Linked DNA regions of Stegostoma tigrinum. Each later gene encodes a partner of the first gene's protein in a complex. Links are inferred from orthologs where the notes say so. Each region holds a gene or a part of one and is shown in the gene's direction. Other genes may lie near its edges.

What was found.
Region 2: ints9 (region 1) and ints12 share a complex: the UniProt entries of both Homo sapiens proteins name them as parts of the integrator complex. The link is inferred for Stegostoma tigrinum from reciprocal best matches to the Homo sapiens genes INTS9 and INTS12.
Region 3: the proteins of ints9 (region 1) and ints4 are in contact, whole or in part, in a cryo-EM structure (PDB 8RC4), measured with the Homo sapiens proteins. The link is inferred for Stegostoma tigrinum from reciprocal best matches to the Homo sapiens genes INTS9 and INTS4. Residues at the interface, in NP_060720.2 of Homo sapiens: Lys2, Tyr4, Lys18, Ser21, Thr22, Leu43, Val44, Gln45, Glu87, Glu89, Leu90, Asp92, Asp97, Thr122, Glu145, Arg146, Val147, Pro148, Lys159, Glu174, Ser176, Thr177, Ser192, Gln195, Phe206, Gly207, Ile379, His380, Ser384, Asn385; in NP_291025.3 of Homo sapiens: Leu53, Gln54, Leu57, Gln58, Arg61, Lys62, Pro86, Ser87, Leu90, Lys91, Ser94, Gln125, Gln129, Asp132, His164, Gln207, Asp208, Pro209, Arg210, Arg212, Asp244, Tyr245, Glu246, Gln247, Trp296, Phe837, Gly840, Leu841, Val842, Val843.

The regions. Positions count from the first base shown.
Region 1 is NC_081362.1:89,093,867-89,105,094, reverse strand, and holds the start of ints9 (integrator complex subunit 9), read left to right. Parts: upstream 1-6,005; 5' UTR 6,006-6,285; coding exon 6,286-6,294; intron 6,295-10,846; coding exon 10,847-10,974; intron 10,975-11,228. UniProt on the Homo sapiens protein: Component of the integrator complex, a multiprotein complex that terminates RNA polymerase II (Pol II) transcription in the promoter-proximal region of genes.
Region 2 is NC_081354.1:10,700,454-10,711,549, reverse strand, and holds the start of ints12 (integrator complex subunit 12), read left to right. Parts: upstream 1-6,954; 5' UTR 6,955-7,095; coding exon 7,096-7,248; intron 7,249-9,889; coding exon 9,890-10,042; intron 10,043-10,397; coding exon 10,398-10,579; intron 10,580-11,096. Other genes in the region: gstcd (glutathione S-transferase C-terminal domain-containing protein), read right to left, coding at 2,352-2,765. UniProt on the Homo sapiens protein: Component of the integrator complex, a multiprotein complex that terminates RNA polymerase II (Pol II) transcription in the promoter-proximal region of genes.
Region 3 is NC_081359.1:108,916,247-108,926,446, reverse strand, and holds the start of ints4 (integrator complex subunit 4), read left to right. Parts: upstream 1-6,058; 5' UTR 6,059-6,143; coding exon 6,144-6,197; intron 6,198-10,200. UniProt on the Homo sapiens protein: Component of the integrator complex, a multiprotein complex that terminates RNA polymerase II (Pol II) transcription in the promoter-proximal region of genes.

The DNA.
Region 1 (11,228 bases):
CTTTTAAATTTGAAATTGTACCAGCTCCCACCATTTCCTGGCAACTTGTTCCATGCACACACCACCCTCTGCATGAAAAAGTTACTCTCCAGGTCCTTTTTAAATCTATGCCCTCTAGTTTTGGACTCCCTTACCCTGGGAAAAAGGCCTCAGCTATTCACCCTATCCATGCCCCTCATGATTTTATAAACCTCTATTAGGTCACCTCTCAGCCTCCAATGCTCCAGGGAAAAAGCTCAATCTAAACAGCCTCTCCCTATAATTCAAAGCCTCTAGTCCCTGTTAACCACTTCTCTGACCAGCATTTCTAGCTTTAGTAAAAGTGGGTAATTAATTGATTTCAATGTGCATACTGATTTCATTTGAAAATTAAATGACTAACGTAGCATCCCCTCTTCACCTTCAAATATTTCTCCTCTGAACTTTACTTTCTATTGGTATAGTTATGATGGACAGAGTAAAGATGAGTAGTAATGTCACTGGGACAGGACGGGTCCAGCAGTTGATTCTTCAGTGTGTAGGTGCTGAGAGATGAGCATCACATACCCAACAAAAACTCCACGAAAGAGTGTCAAAAGGAATAAGTTTAATTACGAGGCATCCAACTGTGCTAACAGTGTTTTAAATCACTTTACATAAAACTTGTGGTTCTTTTGCGCTGTGATGGTTATATCTACAAACAGGTGAGACATTTTAGGTAAAGGTTCACAATTAAAAATAAACTGACAAAATGATATTTGACAAGTTGTTTATTGCTACCAAACAGCTGCTAAAAACTCACTGATAACAGGATGGGCTCAGCGGTGATGCCCCTACAGGCAAATGATGTTCAGGCACTCATTTTCCAAGCTCACAGCTGAAAGATAGCCACTGGACAGAATGCTGGAAGTCAACTGGCAAATACACCTGACAACTAGTGTTTTGTTTTGAAAGAGAAAACAGGTCACCACTAAACCTTCTGGTGTCGAAAACTCCAACCTCTGGATAATAATGAACCTTATTCACATTATTCAACATTTTTTAAGGAAGTACTTTCATACCTTAAATGCAAGCAAGGAAATTAACAGTGTGTGAACAAGTTGAATGGAAAGAGGCTCATGTGCAGTATTGACACTGGTGTAGCCAAGATGTGCAGATATTTGAATGTAAACAGGATCCTATTCCGATTCTATTAGTTGTAATTTTTCCCACAAATTCAGATTTAAATAAAAAGTCCCAATTTACAATTTCAAATTAAGATCAGATTACCTCAAATTCCAACTACTTAGCAATGAAAAAGAGTATGGGTGTAAGCGAGTTTTGAGAAGATTTGTAGCTCAGGTTGAGGTTCTGGATGTGAGTTTGCTTGCTGAGCTGGAAGGTTCGTTTTCAGACGTTTTGTCACCACTGTAGGTTAAATCATCAGTGAGCCTCCGGTGAAGCGCTGGTGTTATGTCCCACTTTCTATTTATTTGTTTAGGTTTCCTTGGGTTGGTGATGTCATTTGTTGGTGATGCAAAAAGAACAGGAAATGACATCACCAACCCAAGGAAACCTAAACAGATAAATAGAAAGTGGGACACTGATGATGTTACCTACAGTGGTGACAAAACGTCTGAAAACGAACCTTCTAGCTCAGGGAGCAAACTCACATCCAGTATGGGTGTAAAGCGGAAAAAAAATGTTAGTGTGATAGTCTCAGCTGATGTTACTATTGGGCAAGTCAGATCACAGAACTAAATGTGGCTTTAAAGATAATTTTTTTTCAACTTTAAAATGGCAGTCTTTCACTGAAACAAACACAGAAGGCTATAGATTTTGATTCACCAATATAACAAGTTTATTACACAGTTGTAATCAAATTAGAATAGATCTAACCAAGCTAACACAACAGTTTGAAATACTTCAAAATACAGGGCAAAACAAAATCCCATCTATTCCCCAACACTACCACTATACAGTTAATCAAAACACCAAAAGATTTTCTCATCCCATAAAACCTGTAAGTTTGACTTAACTTCTTCTCAGTTCCAGTCTTGTGATCTGTAAAGCATTTTTCTTGAATATTCACACAATTAAAGAGCTTAAGCTTTCTTTAAATAGCCTGCAGGGTTCCAACTAAATACTGTGGGTCTGGATTTTTCACAAAATAAACTCTTTCCCTGAGCTAACTTATTCCCTCACTGATCTGAACAAGGGGATCCAGGAAAAACTATACTTGCATCTGACTTGCATCAAGTTTCCTAGGACTGCCCAAAAGCTTTCCATTCTTTGGATTTTGCTGGGGTAAAGTCATTCCTTGATTAATTTACTTGTGTGTTTAGGACAATGTCTTCCAATTTTTTTTTCCCCTGTCATAATTCTTGACCATGTAAATAAATTTCCCATTAATACTCCGGACGCTGTTTACAATCATGGTTCTGAAATACTAACCCAGTTAATTCTTAAACACTTTACGAAAATATATATACTACATTTCTTGAAAACTAAGTCTCACACACAACCTTCAGATTTGATGAAAAACAAAACTCTGCAACAGTTTATCTTAAGTATTTTAGCCAAGTGACATAAACTCAGGAGAAATGGGTAATTCACAGATCATCCCAAACATTGATCTGTAGCTAAAGTCACTTTGCACACACAAACTCATGGCAGAGATGGCTTGATAGATCAGTTGCAGCTGGCTTGAATCTCTTTTCTGCAGGAAATATTGTAAATTCCAAAATGTTCTTTCAGAACCCTCTGTGCATGGTGACAGGCCTTACAGAAGGTTTACTGATCACATACAGAGGATTTGAGAGACTTCTTTGGTATTACTGTAGGCTGGATGTCATTATCAAAATAACTTGTTTGTTGCAAATGCAATATTGTTGCTGGTACAATCTGTCTGTCGCTTTGCAAATTTCAAGATATAGATAGATATCTAGACACATCCACTCAACTGTATTATAAATTAACATTTGGTTCATACAACTTCATAAAAAAGGCTAAACACAGGATTCCGCCAACAGCAATAAAAAACATAAAGGATTGATAAACTGAAAGTGGTTACAGCTGTATCTGAAGAAAGATTTCCTTCTTTCCATCTTTGATCATTTCTGCCACCTCAACACAGCTCTCAGGAATCTAGAAGGCCCCATGTTATGATTAAAAGATCAGGAATTCTCCAGCTAGCTAACCAAAATTTCTCTCTCCATGAACAATACAAGTACATTATTAGTCTCACTAACTCTTTGTGGTCTTGCTATGCATAAACTAGCCACTGTGCTTGCAGTTAAAACAACAGTCATTACATTTCAAAAGCATATTATGTGAAGCATTTTAGAAAAATCTTAATAATGAGATACTGTGTGATGCAAGTTTTGCATTTTGCCAAAGAATAGCATACAGATTCCCAACTGAAAGGATACTAGTTGAACTACAATACATGGAAATCCTGAGAACATTGTGGGTCTGGATAAGAAACTGGACAAAAAAAGGAAACTGTGCATTTGTAAGAGGCATAATGCTATGTGAAGGAAGTAAAAATTGGTTACAGGAATCTTTGTACAAACACTACACTGTGGGGATAAAGGTAGAAGTTATCAGCTTGCTAGATTCCCTAAAAAAAATGCTTATTGAGAACTGCAATTAGGGTTTGCAAAAAGTTCATATTTGGGCAAGTAAACAGCAAAAGGAATTTAATGTCAACCAAATGTTTTCAGCACCTCAGAATGAGCACTTAAAATGCCAGGGCATAACGGGCTATTGACTAAGCATGGGAAATGGGATCAGTATAGTCTGGTGTAGACATGGTGAGTCAAGGGCCCATCTGTATGCTGCATGACTCTAAGACATTGCAAATGTATGGTCTACAGCCAATTTGTACACAGCAAGCTCACCCACAAAGAAAGATAGATTTTGGGTTTTTGTAATGGTGAGTGATACAACATTGGCCATGACACTGGAGATAATTTTACTGTCCTTCAAAATAGCACAAGAGGCAGATGGACCCCAGTATAAAGTCTCAGCCAAATAACAAAGGCCTTAGCCAAAGATTCTCCACACAAAAATGGTAATAAATCCCCAAATTTATCAAGCCCACAAGATTGGAGCTGAAGATATTGTGGAGTTGAAGATGCAGTTAGCCATCTGTTGGGTGAGTTCAAAAATGAATTCAATGGTCTTTGCTCATCACTAGCTGTATTTATGTTCTGATTGCTGCCAACAAGAGAAAAATAATCTCAAATGCTTTTTACATGTTTTGCATTGAGACAAGATACTTCTGCTTAAATCAGCATCAGGCAATTCTGTACCAGTACAAGAGTTTTCTTCCCCCCAATGCTTTTCTATCCACAAAATTCCATGCCTGAGCTGTGAACTCAGAGTTGTAGTGTATCATAAGAGGAACCATGCTGAGTCAAAACAAAAAAAAACTAATGCAGCCTGCTGAAAAGTTCACTTTTAAGTGAGGCAGATCCAAATCTGTCACTCATTCACTCAAGTACTTTCAGACATTCTAACAAGGCCACATGTGACTACCACTGCTACTCCATTCACAGTCAAGTTTGTACAGCTGCCTCACGATTTAAGAACTCCACTGTATTCAGCTATTGTCTTTGCACAAGTCCCTGATATACGTTAAAAAATGACAGAACACGCATAAAATGTAATCCCAGTGTGTTTTCCAGCACATTTGAAAATATCTAGTTGTGTTACAATATACCATTTATTGGAAACCTAATCCATTAAAATCTGTGCTTTAACAAATATCCCCATACTCAGCTTTAAATTTACATGAAACAACAATAACAAGCATAGCCTTCATCTAACAAGATATCCAGGAGCAATGGCTCATACTGTAGCACAAATAAGACAGTAAAACTCCAATTCAAAACATACAATGCAGAAACTCAAGTCACAGTTAAAGAATATTAGGCCACCTGTGATCGCTAAAGTGTTTACCTGGCCCTAAACACAATAACATGAATTGATAGCATCCTTCCAGCACAGAAGACTGGAATGACTCAGTCACACAGCTCCATGTGTTTTGCCTCCATATGGAAACTTGCCCGTAAGTAGTCACAACAGTGAGACTGTGTAGAACAAAATAACCCATTCGAAACTTGCCTGCGTAACCTCCGAAGGAGAATCCTTCCTAAATTCAAAACACCATTGAGACCTAATGCCAAATATCATATCTCACAATTTAAGGAACATTATTTTCAACGACATTCAGTATTTTGGTGCAGTGCACTCTGGAAAACAAAACCACATTTGATTGTGGTAACTACGTGTTGCCTTTCTTCTTATAAATCTCAGCATTTTCCTTGAAATTTGACAGTTCTGATAACTAGCTGAGTTGATTCTCTGCACAATGAGCACATACACACTAAATAGTATTTAGATGAAACAAAACATTATGTACATTAGCCTGACACAAACAGCTCAGACTTACCAATTACTACCCACAAATTAAAAATAAACAGCCTCCGTCAAGCATAAATAAAACACTTACCACCTTATCAGCTTCCTCTGCGATTCTTGGAAATAATCTCATCCATTTAAACATAATCAGGGTGCATTCTCTTACCCAGTAAGGAGCTAGCTGTTTCATTTATATTTTTAAATTTTCCTTCTTTCAAAAAAAGAGAAAAACACCACGCGAGAAACTTTCTTAAATCTGCACTTTAGGAGTAGGTCTCAACGCCTTTGTCTGCCTCAGACCCGCCATGATTAACAACATCAAGCTCCCACAGCGACAAGAGGCGGGGGGCGGCCAGCTCTCCGTCCGTCCGTCCCTCCCTCATCCCCGCCCTCCGCCTCTTGCTCAGGGGTGCGCAGGTGCGCTCGCGCAGAACGCCGGGACATGTAGTCTCCCTACACTAAACCCCCATCAAAACGGGATAGTAGGACCTGCCGGTGCTGGAGAATCTGAGATAACAGGTTGTAGAGCTGGATGAACACAGCAGGCCAGGCAGCATCAGAGGAGCCGGAAGGCTGACGTTTCGGGTCGCGACACTTCTTCAGAATAACCTTTCTGTATGAGGATCTCGACCCGAAACTTCAGCTTTCCGGCCCCGTAACGCGAGAGGCGTGGTCGGCGCTCGGACTACAGTTCCCAGCCTTCCCTGCGATCGGGGCTCATGGGTCGCGCACGCGCGTTCCCCACATACGACGACGACGACGACGTCGACGGTTGCGCCTTCCTCTCCTCGAACTCTGACATTTCATCTTCTGGCGCGTGAGGAGAGAAGGTGAAAGAGTGTGAGGGGTTGGGGAGGGTAGGTTGTCCATGGAAACGGTTTGTGCTGCTTGAAAGGGACGATGAAGCTGGTGAGGATTTTTTTTATGTATTTCAACCCATCTCACATACAGTAGGAGGTGTGCTTATTGTGTATTCATGGCGAACGCAGGTTGAGTCAAATCAGACCAAGAGAAATCAAAAGGGTCTGCAGCTTCATTTCATTTCAATGTAAATGATATAAGCAGTTTCATGTCTGTGTTCCACTTACATTATTTACGTTTCTGTGCTTCAGTCAATGTCTGGAATAATCTGCTGGCGTTGGAGACCGTCTGCTCTGGTTCCTGGGAGCACTTGGATGCTCTGGACTGTCTGCTTGGAGGGTTACGTTTAATTGCTTCGCCCTTTCTCCCTCCCTGAGTATTTTTATCTATTCTCACCAAAAGGGATGAGAAATGTACCTCTGAAACTATCCATGGTCCATAAAATGTCTTCCCTCTCACCATCCGCCCCACACAAACTTTGTATCCAGCTATTTCTTATTAGCTTGTATTTCGACTGTGCTGTTAAGAAAGATGTGGATTTATGTAGCACCCTTCACAACATCAGAACCTCTCATAATGCTTTGCACCCAATGCAAGAGTTTTGAAGTGCAGTCACTGGTTGTATTGTAAGAGAGGCAGTGGCTAATTTATAGACATCAAAATCCCACCATCAGGATTGTGCTAATGATCAGATAAGAACATAGGATGATACTGTTCCAGAATTCAGTGCAATCATTGGAGTTAGACCATACCATCAGACCATAAGACACAGGAGTGGAAGTAAGACCATTCGGCCCATCAAGGCCACTCCGCTATTTATATCATGGCTGATGGGCATTTCAACACCACTTCTCTACACTCTCCCCGTAGCCCTTAATTCCTTCTGAGATCAAGAATTTGTCAATCTCTGCCTTGAAGGCATCCAACGTCCCGGCCTCCACTGCACTCTGCGAAAATGAATTCCATAAGCCCACCGCTCTCTGGCTGAAGAAATGTCATCTCATTTCAGTTTTAAATTTACCCCCTCTAATTTTAAGGCTGTGCCCACAGGTCCTAGTCTCCCTGCCTAACGGAAACAGCTTCCTAGTGTCCAACCCTTCTAAACCATACATTATCTTGTAAGTTTCTGTTAGATCTCCGGTCAACCTTCTAAACTCTAATGAGAACAATCCCAGGATCCTTAGCCGTTCATCATACGTTAAAGCTACCATTCCAGGGATCATCCATGTGAATCTCCGCTGGACACCCTCCAGCGCTAGTATGACCTTCCTGAGGTGTGGGGCCCAAAATTGGACACAGTTGTAGTGATGTTGGCCAAGGGTTAAAGGTTGACCAGGGCACCCTTGCCCCACACTGTGGTTATGTATTTTGCTGCCTAGGACACGATCCAGCACACCAAGCCCTTCTAATATTTTCTGCTTTAACTTGGCATTCATTTTTGCAACCCACCCCTCTAAAATTGTTTACATAAAGCATAGATTGTGTGGTGGTGGCTGTCAGTCACTGCAGCAACTGACCTGCATGGCAACTGAAAAAAAGAAGCTTTAATAACTTGGAAATTTAAGCCTTTTAATGAGGCAGCTGTTGGGATGAGACCTCCTGCCTGCTGGAAACTCTTTCATAAAATCTGTGTGACATGCAAGTTGCTGTTAAACAGGAGACTTTATACATGGAACAAAAACAAATTTGCTGGAAAAGCCCAGCAGGTTTGGCAGCATCTGTGAAGGGAAAAACAGAGCTAATGTTTCGGGTCCGGTGACCTTTCCTCAGAACCCGGAACCGAAATCTTAACTCTCTTTTTTTCCTTCATAGATGCTGCCAGACCTGCTGGGCTTTTCCAGCGACTTTGTTTTTTTTTCCTGATTTCCACCATCCGCAGTTTGTTTGGTTTTGACTTAATTCACGTAGGGATAGTGGGCAGTATTGTCATTTTAAAAGGAGCCAAATATTTTCTTTCTGCTTTGTTAATTCTTTCTTTGAATGTGAGTGTCCATGAGAAGGGCAGCCTTTGTTGCTCATCTTCTAATTGCCCTTCTGACTCTGGTGGTGAGTCACCTTCCTGAACTACTGCAGTCAATCTGGTGTAGGCACACCCACAGCGCTGTTAAGAAAGGAGTTCCCTGATTTTGACTCAGTGAGTGTGAAAGAATGATAGTACGGTTCCAAATCAAATATGTGTGTGGCTTGGAGGGGAACTTGCAAGCCGGTCATACTCCCATGTGTCTGCTTCCCTTGTCCATTGGGAGTGATTGCAGGTTTAGAAGGTTCTGTTGCAGGAGCCTTGTCAAGTTGTGACAGTGCATCTTGTTGATGCTATGCACAGTTGCCACTGTATGTTGATGGTAGAGCTAGTGATTTTTTTTTTTAAGGGTTATGGGTGTCTTCAAAACAGTACTGAAAAGATCCCTGCTGACTAATGGGAGCCTGGCTGGTAACACACCAAAATGGAGAAGGTTTTTAGTAGAAAGGCACAAAACACATCGAGAAACTTTGTCAGGTGGAGACGGTACATAAATTCCCAAATGTGTCATTTGGCCAAACCATCAGGACTGCAGATCATGCATTGGGTTTATCAGCCAACCTAAAACCAATTGAACCAGAATAGAAGGAAATCACCTTGGATACTGAGGGATAACAGTGTGGAGCTGGAGGAACACAGCAGGCCAGGCTGCATCAGAGGAGCAGGAAAGTTGACATTTTGGGTCGGGACCCTTCTTCAGGGATTTTCTGAACTTACCTGTTCCTTCAGCTCCACACTTTGTTGTCTCTGACTCCAGCACCTGCAGTTCTTACTATCTTTGGATACTGAGGAATTGCCTAAGAGAAACAGCAATAAATGTTGAAGATGGCAGATGGGATGCCAGTTGAGTGGGCTACTTTGTTTTGGATGGCATTGTTGAAACCACCTTCTGGGCAAGAATAATGTATTCCATTACATTCCTGATTTGAGCCAAGTAGTTAGACACCCTTTGGGAAGTCAGGGAGTGAGTTCTTTAACACTGAATTCCCAGATTCTGATGTGCCATTGTAGCCACAGTATTAATATTGTTATAACTAGGTGAGGAGAGGTCATAACTCCACTCTTTATTTTCTATTTTAGGGCGGCATGGTGGCTCAGAGGTTAGCACTGCAGCCTCTCAGCCCCAAGGACCTGGGTTCGATTCCCACCTTGGGTGACTGTCTGCGTGGGTTTCCTCCGGGTGCTCCGGTTTCCTCCCACAATCCAAAGATGTGCAGGTTAGGTGGATTGGCCATGCTAAATTGCCCGTAGTGTTCAGGGGTGTGTGGGTTATAGGGGGATGGGTCTGGGTGGGACGCTTCAAGGGGCGGTGTGGACTTGTTGGGCTGAAGGGCCTGCTTCCACACTGTAGGGAATCTAATCTAATCTAATTCAAGTGATCAGTTGCAACAATTTTTGTTATTTTAAAGCACATAACAACCACACTTCAATCAAACTTAATTAACTAGATTAAGAATGAAGAAGAGAAAATTCCAAGGTTTTCCTGAGTGCAAAAGAGTGTTTTATTATAAAAATACAAGAAAGCATGACATTATAAAGGTACACAAATGCAGAGCTTGCAAAAAGGTTGAGGGCAGAGAGAGGTATGTAGTACAGACAGGAAAGTAAAGGCAAATGCAGTTACAGTTTTTAAGAGTCCCGTGGGTTGTGAGAATGAAAATGTGAGAGTCCAACTGTTTAACCATTGTCTTATTTCTTTATCAATGACACATTTTTCAGAGCTTGGATACTCAGTGCATCAATTTTCTGAGTTTCTTTCTCATCAATGCCTGTTTGTGGGACTGAGATTGAATGAAGGAGAGAGAAGAGCTTCCAGTGTACTTGCCGTTATTAGTGTACATTGCTCTTTCTCTGTCTCTTTGCTCAAAAGCTGCTGTTGATATACCACTCCTTTACAGATTTTGGTGTATTTGTCATTGTTTCATTCCAAATTGGCTAGTTGTGGGCAACATTTCATCTCCGAGTAGGTATAATCATCGTGCAAGTGCGAGTAAAACACGAGATACAAATTTCTTGATATCTTATTGAATTTCAGTGCCTTTTGATTAAAATGGTATTTCCAATGCAGCCAGTTTTTTGTATTCCACATAAATTCCTTGAGGTTGTCAGGTGATCACAGCAGCCAATTTAGGTCAGCAGTGTCCTTTTTAAAACCATTTTTAATTCATGAAAGTTTCATGCATTAAATTCAAATTATGGAAGTTGAATGCTGACGGTCCATTTTCACTGCGATCATAACGGTATGGTTCTTCCAAATCGGTGTCTGGCCAATGGTAAACAAACGCCATGCTATTTTTTGGATGTTGATAGTGGGGGATTCAGTCGTGGTGATGTCGAGGAAACATGGTTACACTCTCTCTGGTTGGGGGTGGTCATTGTCTGAAACTTGTGTGACACTGGAATTAATTGCCACTTATCTGTTCGCCCAATGCTGAATGTTGTCCAGGTCTACTACATACGGCCGTGGAGGGCTTCAGAATCTGAAAAGTCTCAAATGGTATTGGACGTTGCGGAACACTTTATGCATGTTTGTATGCTCTATCAGCAATGAAATCCATATCGTTTTACTTTCTCCCTCAGTACTGCTTGTCTGGTCATCCGACATTGCCATGCAATGTCTTGAAGTTCAAATCAACCACCATTATGCTCGACTGTGGGTTAGACATGACCTCAGCCCTTCATTTCTTACCTTTACCGCTTGTCCACAGGTAAGTGTCTCTGATTGAATTTCTTGTGTGATTTAAACTGGCATTTAGAAACGTCCCTAATGTCTTTCGTCTTAAGTATCGATTTTTGGATTTTGATGTACTAACAGATTTTTCTGTGTTTTGAAGGGTTAATAATTAACTTATTGTTTCTGTAGCAATGATGATATTTTTAAAACTGATTGTGAGGACGAGTTTCCAGACATTGATTTTTTATTTACCTTCAGATGATTTACAACCTAGTAGGAAATTGCCTC
Region 2 (11,096 bases), on another chromosome or scaffold:
ACAGCCTCAAGTCCCTCAGCCTTTCCTCGTAAGACCATCCCTCCATACCAGGCAACATCCTAGTAAATCTCCTCTGCACCCTTACCAAAGCTTTCACATCGTCCTTATAATGCGGTGACCAGAACTGTACGCAATACTCCAAGTGCGGCCGCACCAAAGTTTTGTACAGCTTCACCATAACCTCTTGGTTCCGGAACTCGATCCCCCTATTAATAAAAGCTAAAACACTGTATGCCTTCTTAACAGCCCTGTCAACCTGGGTGGCAACTTCCAAGGATCTGTGTACATGGACGCCAAGATCTCTCTGCTCATCTACACTGCTAAGAATCTTACCATTAGCCCTGTACTTTGCCTTCTGGTTACTCCTACCAAAGTGCATCACCTCACACTTGTCTGCATTAAACTCCATTTGCCACATCTCAGCCCAGCTCTGCAGCTTATCTAGTCTCTCTGCAACCTACAGCATCCTTCGTCACTATCCACAACTCCACCGACCTTAGTGTCGTCTGCAAATTTACTAACACATCCTTCTACGCCCTCATCCAGGTCATTTGTAAAAATGACAAACAGCAGTGGACCCAACACCGACACTTGCGGTACACCACTAGTAACTGGTCTCCAGGATGAACAATTCCCATCAACTACCACCCTCTGTCATCTTTCAGCAAGCCAATTTCCGATCCAAACTGCTATATCTCCCACAATTCCATTCTTCCGCATTTTGTACAATAGCCTATTGTGGGGAACCTTATCGAACGCCTTGCTGAAATCCATATACACCACATCAACCAGTTTACTCTCATCTACCTGTTTGGTCACCTTCTCAAAGAACTCAATAAGGTTTGTGAGGCACGACCTTCCCTTCACAAAACTGTGCTGACTATCCCTAATCAATTTATTCTTTTCTAGATGATTATAAATCCTATCCCTTATAACCTTTTCCAACACTTTACCAACAACTGAGGTAAGGCTCACTGGTCTATAATTACCAGGGTTGTCTCTACTCCCCTTCTTGAACAGGGGAACCACATTTGCTATCCTCCAGTCATCTGGCACTATTCCTGTAGACAATGGCGAGTTAAAGATCAATGCCAAAGGCACGGCAATCTCCTCCCTGGCTTCCCAGAGGATCTGAAGATAAATCCCATCCGGCCCAGGGGACTTATCTATCCTCACCTTCTGAAGGATTTCTAATACCTCTTCCATGTGAGCCTCAATCCCACCTAGTCCACTAGCCTGTATCTCAGTATTCTCCTCGACAACATTGTCGCTTTCTAGAGTGAATACTGTTGAAAAAAATTCATTTAGTGCTTCCCCTATCTCATCTGACTCCACACACAATTTACCACTACTATCCTTGATTGGGCCTAATCTTACTTTCGTCATTCTTTTATTCCTTAAATACCTATAGAAAGCCTTAGGGTTTACCCTGATCCTATCCACCAACAACTTCTCATGTCTCCTCCTGGCTCTTCTGAGCTCTCTCTTTAGGTCTTTCCTGGCTACCTCATAGCCCTCAAGTGCCCTAACTGAGCCTTCACATCTCATCCTAACATAAGCCTTCTTCTTCCTCTTGACCAAAGATTCCACCTCCTTCGTAAACCACGGCTCCCGCACTCTACAGCTTCCTCCCTGCCTGACAGGTACACATTTATCTAGGACACACAGGAGCTTTTCCTTGAATAAGCTCCACATTTCTAATGTGCCCATCCCCTGCAGTTTACTTCCCCATTCTATGCTCCCTAAATCTTGCCTAATCTCATCGTAATTGCCTTTCTCCCAGCTATAACTCTTGCCCAGTGGTATACACCTATCCCTTTACATCACTAAAGTAAACATAACAGAATTGTGATCGCTATCACCAAAGTGCTCACCTACTTCAAATCTAACACCTGGCCGGGCTCATTACCCAGCACCAAATCTAATGTGGCTTCGCCCCTTATTGGCCTATCTACATATGAGAAAAATCAGAAATTCCCACGGAAGGACTTTGTTCAGACAGAACAGAAATTACAGAAGCGAGCAGAGGTTATCAAAATGATGATAGGATTTGCTAGGGTAAATACAAATAAACTATTGTGAACACAATCGTAAAGTAAGTGCTAGGTGCTTAGGAGTGAAGTCAACATATACGTTCTTCTCCTAAACAAAGGAACCAGAACACTGGAACCTCCTCCTTCAAAAAGCTATAATGCTGAGACAATAAGAACATTCATGGCTGAAATCAACAGATCTTGTGAAGCAAAATTAATAAGAAATATGGAACAAAGTTGAGTGAGTTCAGGTACAGATCGAATTGAATGATGGAATATATTTGAGGAGCTGAATAGCCTGTTCCTGTTCCTACTTACCTCAGCACAGGCCTTCAAACAGGTCTTTTTGAAGCCAAGCAGTTCTGAAACATCTTTCCTGTTGCAGTCTGTTTCACAGGTTCTCCATACAATATGTCTCAGTACCACAGCAAGACCAGCTCGACAAAAATTCCCATCCTTTTCCACCAGAGCAGGCAGACGACAACTCTTAACCACAGGAGGCAGTTCCTGCTGGGAAAGGATATTGATAGGAATGTTGGTTGGTGCTCCTTTCATCCACAAGAGATTGCTAGCACTGTCTTCGTTAGGCACCAGGAACACTTTAATTGATGTGGATTCACAGTAGGACATTAAAAATAAAACAATGGATGTATGGAGAGGAAAGACTGTGTCCTCTGTGTGGTTGGACAGTTCCAGGTACAGACATGCTTCATGCATGCAATTGTTCTTCATGTCCACAACTACCTATAGAGAGGTGAATAGCAGCTCATTAAGAATTCAGTCATAGATGCTACAAATTGATTTGCATTTTTTTTAATAAAAGGTATGCTGTTAAGTATTTCTTTCTGTCACAATCAAAGGAATCAAAATTACGGCAACTGAAAAGCGATAATTTAATATTTCTGCTGGTTCTTCCAGGGAAATCAAACAGGAAGGGTTGAAAGAAATTGAAATAATTGAAATTGAAATAGCTTACTACTTTCCAGCTTAACAAGAGCTAAAATCAAACTAGAATTCCAGGCAAATGAAAGGAAAATACAGAAGATCAAAAATAACTGTCATATGCTTTTGAACAAAATACACAAAATATTAAAATAGAGTGAATGTTCATAAAAAATATATAGCACTTTTTTGTTTAAGAAGAGGCCAGATAGCCATAAGGGCATTGTGGAAGAATTGACACATGGCCCCCATGAAACATAGCAAAGGCACTATTAGAGTCATAGAGCATTGAAACAGACCCGTTAGTCAAATTAGACAATGAACTGATCGTATAATTATAATTATTATTCTGAATATACTTAAAAAAGGCTCCTGCATGGCAGTTAGCACGGATATTCTTCAACTTGACACTGAATCTCCTGAAACAGGGTTCGTGGGTTAAATATTAATTAAACTTGCACTTACATAGTGCATTTGCAACTTAACTAACACTAAATTCTCATCTTAATGTCTCATATACAGACTTGGAACTGTATTACTGTTCCTTCACTGTCATTGGTCAAAATTCTGGAACTCCCTTCCTAAAATGATTGTGAATGTACTTGATACCAGAAGTTCAAGGCAGCTATTCTACCACCTTCACAAGGGAAAAATCAGGATCAATAATAAGAAATTTTTAAAGCAAAACTTGTTTGAAGCCTATCAAGACTGAAGGTTACTCACAATGGCAGCATTGGCTCAATATCAGCATTCTTACATGCAAGTTCAAAGTTTGAGAGTTCCAGTCATACTTTAGAGATATACTACTGAGATATTATCATTATCCAAGCTGAAAGTTCAGTACAGGAGATGGTGAGTTTGGAATAGCCTCTAAGGTAGATATAACTGATTCTAAGGAATTGACAAAACCAAAGGAGAACAAGTGATGGTGGCAACCCTGAACCCTTAGCATAAGAAACAATCTGGTCATTATCTTGCAGCTGTTTGTGGGACCTTCCTTTGTAGAAATTGCCGTCATCAATTCCCACTGAATTCAACTACAACAGAGTCTCAACTTCAAATGGGCTTCATTGGCTATGAAGGTCTTTGGTTATCCTGAGGCCATGAAAGGGTGCTGTATGTTGTAGGGCATGCAGCAGCTGCTCCTGGTTCTGCTCTGCTCTCCTTTCAGTAGATTGTAGCGTACCCTGTTTGCCTCACCCTGTCTAAACACTCTCTGATCTGCCCATAGTGCTCACAAACAAAAGCTTTTCATTGTACTTAGGTATATATGATGATAATAAATCAAATCAAATAAATATCCTGCTACTAATCCCTCAGGAATACTATTCTGGGGACTTTATTAATAAGAAGTGGTGAAGAATTATCATAAAACGTTTTGGCAGAAATGGCTCAGTGCTGAGTAACAAGAAGTGTTTATTACATAGCTACAGAGATAGAAGACAAGAGTATTGTCTAAGAATAATTAGGCCAACCCAGGTTACATGGTTGTCAATTGTAAGGGTGAGACCAACAGCTTAGAACCACGACCTGGCAGATGAACTAAACTCATCCGGTGGGCAGAGCTATAGTAAGGCTACAGAGTTAAACACTTCAGGCCAACTGCTTTGTGCAACATTAAATTTCTGATTCAAGAAAGAAATGATATGCTGCTACCTTAGATTGAAAACAAAATCTAACAGAGTTGCTGCAAAATACTTGGAAAATGCAATATAATGTGGATAAATATGAGGTTATCCACTTTGGTCACAAAAGCAGGAAGGTAGATTATTATCTGAATGGTGGCAGTTTAGGAAAAGGTGAGGAGCATTAAGACCTGAGTGTCATGGTGGAATAGTCACTGAAGGTTGGCATGCAGGTGCAGCAGGCAGTTAGGAAAGCTAATGGCATGCTGGGCTTCTTAACAAAAGGATTTGAGTATCAGAGTAAGGATGTCTTCCTGCAGTTATACAGGACGTTGGTGAGGCCACATCTTGAGTTTTAGTCTCCTCGTCTGAAGATGGCCATTCTTGCTACTGAGGGAGTCTAGTGAAGGTTCCCGGGATGGCAGGACCGACATATGAGGAAAGACTGGACCGACTGGGCTTGTACTTGGTGGACAAGTGTGAAATAATGCACTTTGGTAGGAGTAACCAGAAGGCAAAGTACTGGGCTAATGGTAAGATTCTTGGTAGTGTAGATGAGCAAAGAGATCTCGGTGTCCATGTACACAGATCCTTGAAAGTTGCCACCCAGGTTGACAGGGCTGTTAAGATGGCACACAGTGTTTTAGCTTTTATTAATAGAGGGATCGAGTTCCGGAACCAAAAGGTTATGCTGCAGCTGTACAAAACTCTGGTGCGGCCGCACTTGGAGTATTGCGTACAGTTCTGGTCACCGCATTATAAGAAGGATGTGGAAGCTTTGGAAAGGGTGCAGAGGAGATTTACTCGGATGTTGCCTGGTTTGGAGGGAAGGTATATGGTCACAGAAATTTGAGGGTGCATACATGAGGATCAATGGTCGGCACAACATTGTGGGCTGAAGGGCCTGTTCTGTGCTGTACTGTTCTATGTTCTATGTTCTATGTTGCTTGGTATGGAGGGAAGGTCTTATGAGGAAAGGCTGAGGGACTTGAGGCTGTTTTCATTAGAGAGAAGAAGGTTGAGAGGTGACTTAATTGAGACATACAAAATAATCAGAGGGTTAGATAGGATGGATAGGGAGAGCCTTTTTCCTAGGATGGTGACGGCGAGCACAAGGGGGCATAGCTTTAAATTGAGGGATGAGAGATGTAGGACAGATGTCAGAGGCAGTTTCTTTACTCAGAGAGTAGTAAGGGAATGGAATGCTTTGCCTGCAATGGTAGTAGATTCGTCAACTTTAAGTACATTTAAGTCATCATTGAACAAGCATATGGACGTACATGGAATAGTGTAGGTTAGATGGACTTCAGATCGGTATGACAGGTCGGCACAACATCGAAGGCCGAAGGGCCTGTACTGTGCTGTTATGTTCTATGAATTTAGAAGAATGAGGAGGAATCTCATAGAAACATATAAAATCCTGATGGAACTGGACAGGCAAGAATGGGAAGAATGTTCCCAATCTTGGGGAAATCCAGAACTAGGCGTCACAATCTTAGAATAAGGCGTAAGCCATTTAGGACTGCCATGAGGAAGAATTTCATCACTCAGACAGTTGCAAACCTGTGGAATTCCTTCCCACAGGAAGCCATTGAAACCAGTGCATTAGATATATTCGAGAGAGAGCTGGACGTGGCCCTTGCTGCTCAGGGGATCAAGGGGTGCGGAGAGAAAGCAGGAATGGGATACTGAGATTGCATGATCAGCCACGACCATATTGAATGGTGGTTCAGGCTGAAAGGGCCAAATGGCCTACTGTACTCCTGCACCTATTTTCTAAGCTTCTGTGTTTCTACGTACTTCACTAATTCCAAGTCCTGCTTTGTTGTAAGAGGTTTGCCTACACGGGCTGCCTGACGATAAACTGGAACGTCTGAATGAAAGCAAAATGCAGCGGAGTGAAGCGAACACAGAGAATGCTGAGGAAACTCAGCAGGCCTGGAGAGGGAAACATGTGGTTAAGGCTTCTGAAGAGGGGTCATACCGGATCCGAGTCGTTAACCCTGTTTCTCTCTCCACAGATGCTGAGATTTTTTTCCCTAATGGAATATTTTCTCAGCCCAGCAACTGATGGAGGCTTTGACTGAAGGGCAGCGAATGGGGCGGCGTCCTGCAGCTGGAAACCTGGATCTTGTCGGGAAGACAAAGCACAGGAAGGAATTGAAAAATGAGCACAACTGAAGAGATTTTTATAAATACCAGTATTCCATCACCTCCACCCCACATAAACACAGCAACCCAATTACCTGCAACCCACTTGGCTCATCAATGCCCGGGTACCGGGGAGGGGGGCGAGTGCTTTAAACAGACGGACCGGATGTTACCCGTTGCTAGGACTAAAAGTCGGGGACGAATATAAATGTGGGACCGGAAGTATCGCTAGGCAGATGCTGAGTTGCTAGTATGCTGATATTAGAAGCTTCCTGAGGTTGCAGCCCTGATACTAATCTGTAATTGATATATGTATTCGACATATTCTTTCACGTTTGTAGGACATGGCTGTTCCCAACCTAGAGCTGGACCCACTCTTCCTCAAAGCCTTGGGTTATCTCCATTCAAAAAGCAAAGACTCGGCAGAGAAACTGAAAGCCCTGCTAGATGAGACCTTGGCTAGAGGCGGTGATTCCAGCTTTCGACAGGCGCAAAAGGTACAGTTTCCTCGTATTTAAAGTAATACTTTTAAAGGTTTATTTGAATGAGGTAGTTGGGCATAGGGAAATAGCTGATTTAAAATGGACATGAAGAGAGTCAGAGAGGAGCTGGAGCTTATTTTTGTAGGTTTTATTATTGGAACACAATGTTTGAAGCAATGAATGAGACAGAAGTTGCTACATTCTTGAAAGGAATTGTGTACGGTGCTGTGAAGAGAGGGTTGCACAGTGCAATAATAAATGTTTCTTTTCCTGAGAATATTCAGCACATCAGGTAGCAGCTGCAAAGAGAGAAAAATAAATTTAATGTTTCAAGTCGGTAAACTTTCATCAGAGCAGTAGGCTTTGGATCTCTCCAGCAAATGGGCTTCATTTGGTGCTGTAACTGTGCAAGAGTGGGTTTTGTTTAAGGGATGCTCCCCTTATGAAGTGATCTCAGCACTTCCACTGTTCAGTTAATTACTTGGTGACTGTATCAAGTATTTGGATGTGAATGCATAATTTGTGAGAAAAGCATAAGAGATAATCTGCAAAGTTATACAAAAAAAAATGAAGAGGGTGTTTAAGCATGAGGGGAAGAATGACAGGGAGAGAAATTAAAAAGTTGGTATTTTAACAAAATATTGAGAAAGTGAAGGTCTAAGTAGTGCCTTCCTAACTGAGTATCTAATCTGCTCTAATGTAGAGCAGAGAAATGAATTACTCAATTCTCTTATAGTTTGCAGCAAAGCAGAATACATCATTACAGAGATCACCTAGTAGCTAGAACAATGGTAGAAAACTAAGTGCAGGTTCTTGGCTGAATGAAGTTTAGAGTGGTTTTGTTATTGGAGACAAATGGGATGGTACTGGAAACCAAATACTGAATTGAATGTAATTTATGAGGATTTATTCATTGAAAATACTGGTTATCATATTTCTCGGCATATATACAACATAATGATCATATGTGAAACATTGCCACAAAAGATATTTTGAAACATGACCCTTACAGTTTTATCTGCCTCTCCAAGATAAAACCTAATTGCATCATCAAAAACCACATTCACTTTGATGTGATTTGTATGATGACTTCCAGAAGGTCACTGTATAGACATGAGATTCAATGTAGATGCCTATAAAATGTTTATTTCCAATTTTTGGTTTTTGATACTCCTGCATATTCAATTTATCCAAGAGGATAGATAGTTAGCATGCACCCAAACACTGGCAATGCTGTTGCAAGGTGAACTTCCAAGAGATGTCTTCAGATCTTTGTTTACTTCCATGTTGTGCTGTATAATTCTTCCCAGCCCCAAGAGCAGAGATGAGTTCAGAAATCTGCTCTGTTTGGAAATATTATAATGCAAAATTGCATCCAGTCACTCATTGTGGTGTTGCTTCAAACTCTAAAGTGTGAATATGAGAGAATACACTAAGTGATAACCTTCAGACTATTTTTGGCACATTTTTAAAATAAGCTAAGATGATTCGCTGGTGACTCTTTCTAAAATATATCCGTATTAGTTTATCTTGGAAGGTAGTTCTGTTAGTTCTGAGGGCAACAGTTCTAGATTCAACTGCCACTGTAGGACCTGAAAACATGGTCAAGCTGGCACTGCAGTTCACTACTGACATACTCCTACACTGTTGGTGGGATCTTATCTTTGGATGAGAATTTAAACTGAGTCCATGTTTGCCTGTCCAGATGAATGTGGAAAACCTTTTTAAGAGGAGCAGCATTCTTGCCACATCCCTTTTCAATCACCGTTGCCAAAAACAGATGAACTGCCATTTTTTCTCACGAACTCAACAATGTGATAATGCTATATTTATGCTATCAAATTAGCTGTGGCATTTATCTTTCTTTATTCATGGGATATGGATGTAACTGATTGGCCCAGCAACTCTAAGTGCACTGGAGGAATCGATTGTGAGCTGTCTTTATGAACTCCTACAGTTCTTGGTCTGTGGTGCACCCACAGGACTGTTACAGGAAAGGTAGTTACAGAATTTTGACCCAGGGATTGAGTGGAACGGCAAGTTCCCCTCCAAGCCACAACACCATCCTGACTTGGAATTTTGTGGCCATTCCACTCAGTGTCTGGGTCAAAATTCTGTAAAATTGTTCATGTGTTCTGTGAACTGGTTTATACATGAACAATGACTACACTTTGAGGCATCCTGAGGATGTATAATTTGCTATATAAATGCAAATTCTGACTTGACATTTTTTTTGAAAGGATGATCTATTGTAACTTTGGAACAATTTACGGTGGCTTCCCTGTCTGATCAATTTCATTTCTCTGCTGTGACAGACTGGAAAAATTAAAGCCTGAATTCTCCCTGTCTTATTGTAACTGCTGCCTTACGCAGCTTATCTCCAAGTTGTAAGGCTGTCTTAATAAAGAACTTGCAGACCAGCAATTTCATTGTTGTGCCTTTAAGGCTTCATATTCAGGATCACACAGAGTAAGTTGTTTCAGAGGGTGTAGCTCATTCACTACTCCTGTATCTTTGAATGACCATCAAATATTTATTATCTTCCTGTCTATGTGCTGGCATTTAATGAGATGTCAGCTAATCTCTACTTAAACTCCATTCACCCAGTGTTAATTACTCCTCCATTGTTAGCCATTGTTTTATGCTCCTTGCCTAGGACATTGAAACACCCAAGGTGACTGCCAGCATCAAATCCAGTTCAACAAAGCAGGAATCCAAAGTGTCTTCATCTCTCTCACTGGGCAACAATGGTAAATCCAGCTCCAATGAGAAAACCAAGAAGGAAGCTGAAAAGAGACCTGGTGAAAAGGTTAGAAGTTTCTGGCTAAATTTGTTCTGCAACTGCAAATAGATGTTTCCATATAGAAACCATTCATAGTACAAGAGAAAGTTCATGCTGTTGACAGTGAATTATAAATAATCATGATTTGGAACAACATAACGGATATTTTGCTGTTCACATGCAAAATTTCAAATTTTATCCATAAGAAAGTTGTCTTCAGCTCACTGAAGGGCAAAAGATCAGGTTCATCTTAAATTCTGTACATTGTACTTAGCCCAAAAACAAGGAATATAAAATTTGAGGCACTGTTCTTTATCTTATAATTTAATTCATAATGATTGACTGATTAGTTAACCCCATGGATCTTTCAAATTTTTGAAAGGTTAAACTAGATCCTTTGGAGGGAGTTGACCCCCAGAAAAAAGCCAGATTGGAGAAAGCGGAGAATCGATCCTCTCCCATTACTGTTCAATCCAGCAAGGAGCTGCCAATGCCTGACCTACCTGGCTTTGAGAGTGCAGAGGACTTTGCCATGGAAATGGGACTGGCGTGTGTCGTGTGTCGGTATGAGAAATTGTCTTTTTACATGTTGATGACCTGAACTTTGACACACTGAGCTGAGACCATATGATGTGTTCAGGTTAGGTAGAGTTAGGAACTAAGGGAGATAATCAGATTAGTGCAGATGGAGGTGATTCATCCTTATTTAAAAGCTATACTTTCTGTCCTTGCTATAAATCTTTTCAACGTAAATTCCAACATCCCTGTTTCTAATGAAAGCTGTCATCTTAAATACATCCATTTGCTATTAAATAATGCTGCAGTCCTCCAATGTATCTGTTAGTTATGAAACTGCAGGTGAAAAGGTAGAATTACCCAAAGGTAATTTTACTTATTCAAGAGGTAGGTTTCTGTGTTTCAAAAGAAAGTATTATTTGAATGGCAAAAACTGCAGAAAGCAGCAGCACAATGGAAATTGGGAGTTCTTACAGAGTCATAGAATTCTACAGCATGAAATGCTTTTGCACAAAACACAAAAAGCTAGCAAACAGATGCAGCAAGTAGTCAGGAAGGCTAATGG
Region 3 (10,200 bases), on another chromosome or scaffold:
AAGAGAAAGGAAAAAGGAACTGGAGAGCAGAGGAGCTCCAACTGGTGTGTCTTGCACTGCCTCCATCTTGGCAGAGCTTCACCCCCGCTGCAAGTTAGTGCAGTGAGGAGCAGAGGTTTGATGTTGGAATTCAATGCAGGATTCCTCAGTATGACTGCAGTAGCAAAGCCTCTGAAACACTTCAGAAATTAGTACCAATAACGAAAAGAATGCAGAGCTGTCACTCCATTCTTCATCTCTTCATTGCCTGTGACTGGTATGTGTAACATGCAGACGCAAAACCAGCTTGACAGCATTTTGTGAGATGCATTAACATGACGTGGAGCTAAATCTGGGCAATGCACTCATAGTTCTAGATTAAATGATTATTGCTCAATGTTGTGAGTGATCTAATGTTTCACAATACATACACGGAATAACACACAATATATGACAGAAAGTGTGGTAAAAATTCCTCCGGTTCGCTAATGTCCTTAAAATAATCTGCCATCTTTACCAGATCTGGAGTCATATGTAGGCCGGACTAAGTACAGATGGCAAATTTCCTTAGGCGAGATTTCTACCGCGCTTGACTGGGTTCCACAGTCATTGCTGGATTATGTTAATGCCAGGTTTTATTATCATGCATAGCAGCTAATGGGAGTGGAACACATGACCCCTTAGGATTACTAAATAAGTGTGATTACCACTGCACCAATCAACAGTGAAGGAGCAGTGATACAGGACCATAATATGTATTAGCACAAATGGGCCATTCAGCCCAGCATATTTGTTCCTTCTTTCAACGAGATTATTGCCCGTCTCTGAGAGGCAACAATACACACGTAGACAAAGATACAGAGGAGACACTTAGAGCTCTCTAAAACCATTTATTAAACAATTCATTTATTAAGTAGTTAAATGGTTAACACACAGTCTTAACAACTAGAGAAGGGCAGGCGATGGTCTGGTGGTATTATTGCTGGACAGTTAATCCAGAGGCTTGAGTACTGTTTTCAGGACCTGGTTTCTAATTCCACCACGGCAGATGTGGTGGAATTTGAACGCAATAAAAAGAAAATCTAGGATTAAGAATCTAATGATAACTGCAAATCCACTGTTGATTGTTGGAAAAACCCATCTGAAGGGTCTAGGCCCGAAATGTCAGCTTTTGTGCTCTTGAGATGCTGCGTGGCCTGCTGTGCTCATCCAGCTCCACATTTTGTTATCTTGGTTCATTAACGTCCTTTAGGGAAGGAAACTGCCATACTTACCTGGTCTGGCCTTCATGTGACACCAGACCCACAGCTATGTGGTTGACTTTGAACTGCCCTCTGGGCAATTAGGGATGGGCAATAAATGCTGCCCTGTGCAGCGACACCCTCATCCAGATAGATCAATCTTTTGTTAGTGATAATGGGAACTGCAGATGCTGGAGAATCCAAGATAATGAAACGTGAGGCTGGATAAACACAGCAGGCCCTGCAGCATCTCAGGAGCACAAAAGCTGACGTTTCGGGCCTAGACCCTTCATCAGAAAAGGGCGATGTGGAGAGGGTTCTGGAATAAATAGGGAGAGAGGGGGAGGCGGACCGAAGATGGAGAGAAACCATCCCTCTCTCTGACGAAGGGTCTAGGCCCGAAACGTCAGCTTTTGTGCTCCTGAAATGCTGCTGGGCCTGCTGTGTTCATCCAGCCTCACATTTCATTATCAATCTTTCGTTACCCTGATTTCTGTAACTAAACCCAAACATTATTACCCAGGAGAGTTTGCAGCTGGCCAGGCTGAAACTCTATTCAATGTCTCGACCATGCCTCATGATGTAAGGTACCTTCTTGCACAACATTGATCTTCGAAGTGTTGTTGAACAAAGGGATTTCTTCAGGTTCTTTGTAAACAGGTCTCTGTGCCAAGTGTGTGCCTTATTTGGACCTGAATGACCCAGTGTAATTCCATTCACATAACTGTCTATTTTCAGTTCCTGGATGAACACAGCAGGCCAAGCAGCATCTCAGGAGCACAAAAGCTGACGTTTCGGGCCTAGGATCTTTGAAGGCCCTAGGCCCGAAACGTCAGCTTTTGTGCTCCTGAGATGCTGCTTGGCCTGCTGTGTTCATCCAGCTTCACACTTTGTTATCTTGGATTCTCCAGCATCTGCAGTTCCCATTATCACATCACAACACCAGCACCTGGATAGGGAGAGAGGGGGAGGCGGACCGAAGATGCACCAGCGCAGTTCTTCCCCTCCCCCCACTGCATCCCAAAACCAGTCCAGCCTGTCTCTGCCTCCCTAACCTGTTCTTCCTCTCACCTATCCCCTCCTCCCACCTCAAGCTGCATCTCCATTTCCTACCTACTAACCTCATCCCACCTCCTTGACCTGTCCGTCTTCCCCGGACTGACCTATCCCCTCCCTACCTCCCCACCTATACTCTCCTCTCCACCTATCTTCTTTTCTCTCCATCTTCGGTCCGCCTCCCCCTCTCTCCCTATTTATTCCAGAACCCTCACCCCAACCCCCTCTCTGATGAAGGGTCTAGGCCCGAAACGTCAGCTTTTGTGCTCCTGAGATGCTGCTTGGCCTGCTGTGTTCATCTAGCCTCACATTTTATTGTCTTGGATTCTCCAGCATCTGCAGTTCCCATTATCTCTATTCTCAGTTCCTGTCAGTTTTCATTACCTTCAGCCTTATCCAACAAGATTATTGCTGATCAATTCCACTTTCTATCTTTCCCCCATAATCCTTGATTTCCTTACTGGTTAAAAATCTGCCTGTTTCAATCTTGAATCCATTTAACAACACGCCCTTGAGAGCCCTTTGTGCTGACACTGGTGGTGGAGAAATTATTGAAGTCTATAATGAAGGGTCAGTCATGCTTGACAAACCTCATAGGGATGTTTGGAGAGGCGACAACGGTGGTGGCCAGAGGCAAGTGGATGGATGCTGTTAAAGTGGACTTAGAGTCATAGAGATATACAACATAGAAACAGGCTCTTCTGCCCAACTCGTTCATGCCGACCAGATATGGCCTAACTCCACAGAGCAGCCATGATTTATTTGAATCACAGAGATCAGGTTCAAAGGGCTGAATGGCCTTCTCCAATTCCGAGGTTCCTAAAGAATTCCACAGATTCACTACCCACTGAGAGAACAAATTCTTCCTCATCTCTATAACAAATGTGAAACCCCTTCTTCTGCAATTATGCCCCTGCTCCGAACATATCCTATGAATTAAAATAATCTGTCAGCATAGATCCGATCAGTTCCCTCAGAATCTTTTGCATTTCAATTAGATTTCCTCTCATTCTTCTAAACTCTAATGAGTACAGGCCCAATCTATTCAACCTCTCATCATAAGACAGTCCTCCCATACCTGGTGTCATCCTACTGAACCTTCTCTGCACTGCCTCCAAAAACAATCTTCCCTTGGATAAGGGCACAAGATCGTTCATAGAATTCCAGCAGTGGTCGTTGCTTTAGTAAGATCTTGTTCACCTCAGGTCAGGATGGCAAATGGATTATAGCGGAACATCCAGCCATTTGTCCTTTTGTTCTTACTCCAGTTCTATGTAATAAAGATGTTTCTTTGCACTTGTACCACTTGATCTCCTGTGAAAATAACAGGGATCTGTTGTTACATCTCAGCTGAAGGATGGTGTATAGTTGTGAGTACCACTTTATAGGAAAGATTGGAGGCAGATTTACAAGAATGGTTCCAGGAATCAGAAACTTACAGTCTTTTTTTGTTCATCATGGGATGAACGCCCCGCTGGCAAGGCTAGCATTTACTGCCCACTCCCTATTAATCAGAGGGCAGTTCAGAGTCAACTGCATTGTGAGATAACAAAGTGTGGAGCTGGACGAACACAGCAGGCCCAGCAGCATCTCAGGAGCACAAAAGCTGACGTTTCGGGCCTAGACCCTTCATCAGAGAGGGTGATGGGGGGAGGGAACTGGAATAAATAGGGAGAGAGGGGGAGGCAGATCGAAGGTGGATAGAGGAGAAGATAGGTGGAGAGGGGACAGACAAGTTAAAGAGGTGGGGATGGAGCCAGTAGAGGTGAGTGTAGGTGGGGAGGGGATAGGTCAGTCCGGGGAAGACGGACAGGTCAAGGGGGTGGGATGAGGTTAGTAGGTAGTAGGGGGTGCGGCTTGAGGTGGGAAGGGGGGATAGGTGAGAGGAAGAACAGGGTAGGGAGGCAGGAACGAGCTGGGCTGGTTTTGGGATGCAATGGGGGAGGGGACGAGCTGGGCTGGTTTTGGGATGCAGTAGGAGGAGGGGAGATTTTGAAACTTGTGAAGTCCACGTTGATACCATTGGGCTGCAGCGTTCCCCAGTGGAATATGAGTTGCTGTTCCTGCAACCTTCGGGTGGCATCATTGTGGCACAGCAGGAGGCCCAGAATGGACATGTCGTCTAAGGAATGGGAGGGGGAATTGAAATGGTTCGCGACTGGGAGGTGCAGTTGTTTGTTGCAAACCGAGCAGAGGTGTTCTACAAAGCGGTCCCCAAGACTCCGCTTGGTTTCCCCAATGTAGAGGAGGATACACAACGGGTAGAGCGGATACAGCATACCACATTGGCAGATGTGCAGGTGAACATCTGCTTGATGTGGAAAGTCACCTTGGGGCCGGGGATGGGGGTGAGGGAGGAGGTGTAAGGGCAAGTGTAGCACTTCCTGCGGTTGTAGGGGAAGGTGCCGGGTGTGGTGGGGTTGGAGGGGAGTGTGGAGTAGACAAAGGAGTCCCGGAGAGAGTGGTCTCTCCGGAAGGCAGGCAAGGGTAGGGATGGAAAAATGTCTTTGGTGGTGGGGTCGGATTGTAGATGGCAGAAGTGCCGGAGGATGATGCGTTGTATCTGGAGGTTGGTGGGGTGGTATGTGAGGACAAGGGAGATTCTCTTTTGGCAGTTATTGAGGGGACGGGGTGTGAGGGATGAGGTGCGGGAAACTCTCGGATTCTCCAGCATCTGCAGTTCCCATTATCTCTCAACTGCATTGTGAGTCTGGAGTCACAGGAAAGGCAAAGCAAGTAAGGATGACCGGAGCAAATTACTGCAGATGCTGGAATGTGTACTGAAAACAACAAATGCTGGAGATCACAGGAGATCAGACAGAATCCATGGAGAGACAGCAAGCTAGCGTTTCGATCTCTGATGAAGAGTCATCTTGATTCGAAACATTAGCTTGCTCTCTCTCCTTGGATGTTGTCTGATGCACTGTGATCTCCAATATTTTGTTGTTTTCAAGTAAGGATGGCAATTTCCTTCTCTAAAAGACATTAATGGGCCATATGGGTTCTTCCAACTATTGACAATGGATTGATGGTCATCATTAAAGTCTTAATTCCAGATGTCTGTTGAACTCAAAGTCCACCATCTGTTATGAGAGGGGTGAGGCAGAAGGGGGGGGGGAATGGGAAAGATGGGAAATTGGGGGCGGGAAAGATGGAGTGGAGGGAGAAATGGCAGAGAGAGAGATGGCAGAATGGATTGTGGGGAGAGAATGGGAGATGGTGGGAGATGAAAAGGATGGGAGGAGGTGGGGAACGAAAGGATGGGACGTGGAGCGGAAGAGGGGATAGGAGGGGCGTGGGTCAGCAGAGGTAAGTGGGGAGGGGACAGGACGCAGGGGAGTGGGCAGAGAGGGCAAGGGGGAGAAAGGGAACAGGGATGCAAGGAGAATGAGGGGACGGAGAGGGAGGGGTTGACAGAGACCGAGAATGAGGGTAAGTGGGAGAAGGGAGCGGAGTGGTGGGAGGGACAGAGTAAGAATGGGTTGAATGGGGAGAGAAGTGATGGGGAAAGGGGGTGAAGGTGGAAGGGGAGAGAGGAGCAAAGACGGAGAATGAGGGGAAGGGGTGACAGTATGTGGAAAGGTGGAGGGTGGGGTCAGAAAGGGTGGGACCAGGGCCAGGGGGCGTTGCCAATGTGCGCTGGGGAGGAAGGGCCAGGGCGAGGGGGCGGGGCCAGGGCGAGGGGAAGGGCCAGGGCGAGGGGGCGGGGCCAGGGCGAGAGGCGGGGACCGTCCGGTGGTTTCGGGGGGGGGGGGGGGCGGGTCCACGGATGCCTACGGAAGCCTCTGAGAGCCTAGAAGCCGTTAATTCGGCAATTGCCGCGCGGTTTTGAGTTTGTCGTTGTTGTGCCTTCTGCTTCGCTACGCCATGGCGGCGCATCTCAAGAAGCGGGTGTATGAGGAGTTCACCAAAGTGGTTCAGGTCAGGCGGCTTTCCTCTCCTGAGACTGCAGCTGGTTGTGCCCTGCCGTTGCCCCTTCTCCTTCCTGCTCAGCTCCTTCCCCCTCCCGCACCGACCCTCAGGAAAACGGCCTCCTGCTTAGGCCTGAGGCCTAACCCAAGGCCCCTTTTAAAACAAATAACTTTGATGTGGAACGTGGATATTTGTTCAGCAGCTGTGCCAGGGCAACCTTTCGTAACCATACAGCTTTAACTTTGTACAATATCTTGAAGGTTTAGATAGGTTTGATTATTTAAAAACATCTGTTTTGCAAGAGGTTTAAAGTTACTGCTGTCAAAATTTGAGAGCCTTGAAAGTACTTTAACGTGGAAAAGTAGATATTTGCTCCAAAGTGAATCAATGGTTGGAATATAATTTAAAATTGTAGATTTTGTACGTTACATTTTAAAGCCCACTCATGATTTTGAAAACCTTTATCAGATCCCCTGCCCTCTTTCCGAGGAGGTCAGTTCCAACTTCTCCTACTTATCCTCATAACTGAATTGTCTCATTCCAGGAACTGTTCCTGCAAATTGCTCCTGTGCTCTCTCCAGTGCATTTGTGTCTTTCCTATAATGTGGTGCCCGCAACGGCCCTCAGAGCGTCCCACCCAGACCCATCCCTGGACATTACGGGCAATTTCCCATGGCCAGTCCACCCTGACCTGCACATCTTTGGACTGTGGGACGAAACCCATGCGGACACAGGGAAAATGTGCAAACTCCACACAGACAGTCACCAGAGGCTGGAATCAAACCCAGCACTAACCATCGTGCTGCCCCTTTTTAAGCAACTCATTGGGACACAGCAATTGGAGGTCCAACTAAGATTCGAACTTGGATAGCTGGATTCCAAGTCCAGATTGCTAACCATTACACCGTGGAACCGACTGCAAACAAGCAGGGCTTCACGACAGAATTCAGTGCACTCCAGACAGGACTTGAACCCGCAATCCCTACCTTGGGAGGGCAGTGCCTTCTCCATTAGGCCACTGGGGCCAGGCATATCTAGTCACCTCTTGAATACATTCAATGTTTTGGCAACATTCTCCCCATGTCTGCAAGGGTTTCCACCAGATGCTGTGGTTTTCTCCCACAGTGCAAAGATATGCAAGTTAGGCGATAACAAAGTGTGGAGCTGGATGAACACAGCAGGCCAAGCAGCGTCTCTGTGCTCATAAGATGCTGCTTGGCCTGCTGTGTTCATCCAGCTCCACACTTTGTTATCTCAGATTCCCCAGCATCTGCAGTTCCCATTATCTCTGAATGCAAGTTAGGTGGACTGGTCGTGCTAAAATTGCCCATAGTGCCTGGGGATGTCTGGGTTAAGTGGATTTGCCATGGGAAATATAGGGTTACAAGGATAGGGGGTGTGTGTGGGGGGGGGGGGGGGAGTGGGGGCTCTGGGTGGGATGCTGTTTGCAGTGTTGGTGCAGACCAGATCGGCCAAATGGCCTGCTTTCATGTTTTAGGGATTCTATGATTCTACATCCACCTGCAGCAAAACCTGTACAACAGCAGGTCTTGGACTAGTGAGTGGCAAGTAAAGTTTGTCACATGGGTGCAAGACCATGATCATCACCAAAAAGAATCTGGCCCTTAGCATCAATGTCACTCCATCACTCAGTACCCCACTATCAGCATCCTGGGAGCTACTATTGACCAGGAACTGAAACTTGCCCATTTTCTACAGTTCATAAGTCAGGCGTATGGTGGAATACTCCCTGCTTATGTGGATACGTGCAGCACCAACAACACCAGATGATTCAATACCATTCAAGAAAAAGCCACCTGTTTAATTTGACACCTCATCTTCCACTTTCAATTTTCACACGCTCCACCACCAAGGCACAGTCACAGTGGATAATGTGTATCTATAAGCTGCTCTGCAGCAACTTACCAAGGCTCTTTAGAAAGTATCCTCCAGATTTTTGACCATTGTCACCTAGGAAGTCAGGGGTAACGGATACATGGGAAAACCACCACTGCAAATTCCCCTCCAGGCTACACACCAACCTGACTTGAAAATATATGCCTTGCCTTTACCGTTGTCATGTTAAAACCCTGTGGGTGTATCTATATGCCATATACTGCAGCACTTGCAATAAGAATTTGGGATGGATAATAAATTCTGGCCAGCTAGCAAAAAGTGCATACAATGAATAACTGAAAAATATTATCCCCCATTTCTCCCAGTGTCATTCTGCAGAATCTGTGTTGTATTCCCCCCAAGGCCATTATACCCATGTTGAGGATCAGTGCTCCATGCTGAATGTAGTGCCCCAGATGGTTTCATAGTTGTACATGACCAGCAAGACCCATGAATGCTCCCCAAGAATACATGCTACAAATTCTGTGCAGTGACAAATCCTATAAAAGGTGGCCTGCTATTACTGTTAATTGAAATGGTATTGTTTGTCTTGGTCTAAGCCCGTCTGTGCTACAAGACTGTGGATTGAAACTCCAATGAGAGTGTTGTCCTTGTCATCCAGCTGATTTGTTGCAGTACCAGTGGGATGATGCATAGTCAGAAATTCCACAGCGCAAACAAGACACTGAACTGAAGCTGAATCTGTCTTTTGCAGATTGAAGAAAAGAGTCCCATGCCACAATTTGTCTTAGACCAAGGAGGTTCTCCCAGTTGGTGACACAATCATCTGATTCAAGAGATTATGATCTCAAGAACCATCCTAACCAAGAGCAGTGAATTTGAACAGAAGCATGGCATTTAACATAGATAACAAAGTGTGGAGCTGGATGAACACAGCAGGCCAAGCGGCACCTTAGGAGCACAAAAGCTGGTGTTTCGGGCCTAGACCCTTCATCAGAAAAGGGGGATGGGGAGAGGGTTCTGAAATAAATAGGAAGAGAGCGGGAGGCAGATCAAAGATGGATAGAGGAGAAGATAGGTGGAGAGGAGACAGACAAGTTAGAGGGACAGGGATGGAGCCAGGAGAGGTGAGTGTAGGTGGGGAGGTAGGGAGGGGATAGGTCAGGCTGGTGAGGACGGACAGGTCAAGGGGGCGGGATGAGGTTAGTAGGTAGGAAATGGAGGTGCGGCTTGAGGTGGGAGGATGGGATGGGTGAGTGGAAGAACAGGTTAGGGAGGCGGGGACGAGCAGAGCTGGTTTTGGGATGCAGTAGAGGGAGGGGACATTTTGAAGCTTGTGAAATCCATATTGATACCATTGGGCTGCAGGGTTCCTAAGTAGAATATGAGTTGCTGTTCCTGCAACCTTTGGTTGGCATCATTGTGGCACTGCAGGAGGCCCAGGATGGTCATGTCGTCTAAGGAATGGGAGGAGGAGTTGAAATGGTTTGCGACTGGGAGGTGCAGTTGTTTGCTGGACTTCACAAACTTCAAAATCTCCCCTCCCTCTACTGCATCCCAAAACCAGCCCAGCTTGTCCCCGCCTCCCTAACCTGTTCTTCCTCCAACCTATCCCCTTCTCCGACCTCAAGCTGCACCTCCATTCCCTACCTGCTAACCTCATCCCGCCCCTTGACCTGTCCGTCCTCCCTGGACTGACCTATCTGCTCACTACCTCCCCACCTACACTCACCTCTACAATCTCCATCTCCGCCCCTTTAACTTGTCTGTCTCCTCTCCACCTCTCCTCCTCTACCCATCTTCGACCCGCCTCCCCCCTATCCCTATTTATTTCAGAACCCTCTCCCCTTTCCCCTTTTCTGATGAAGGGTCTTGGCCAGAATCGTCAGCTTTTGTGCTCCTAAGATGCTGCCTGGCCTGCTGTGTTCATCCAGCTTCACACTTTGTTATCTCGGATCCTCCAGCATCTGCAGTTCCCATTATCTCATGGCATTTAACTGTTCCCTAGTACATTTTTCAAACAGCCCCTCTACTAGTCAGGGTTAACTTGCCAACCAATATGCACCCTTTTCTCATCCAATATAAATTGTTGTTCCCATTGAGATATGGTGCTTGGTCCTGATGAGTGCAAGATGAAAAGCTTTGATGGCATATT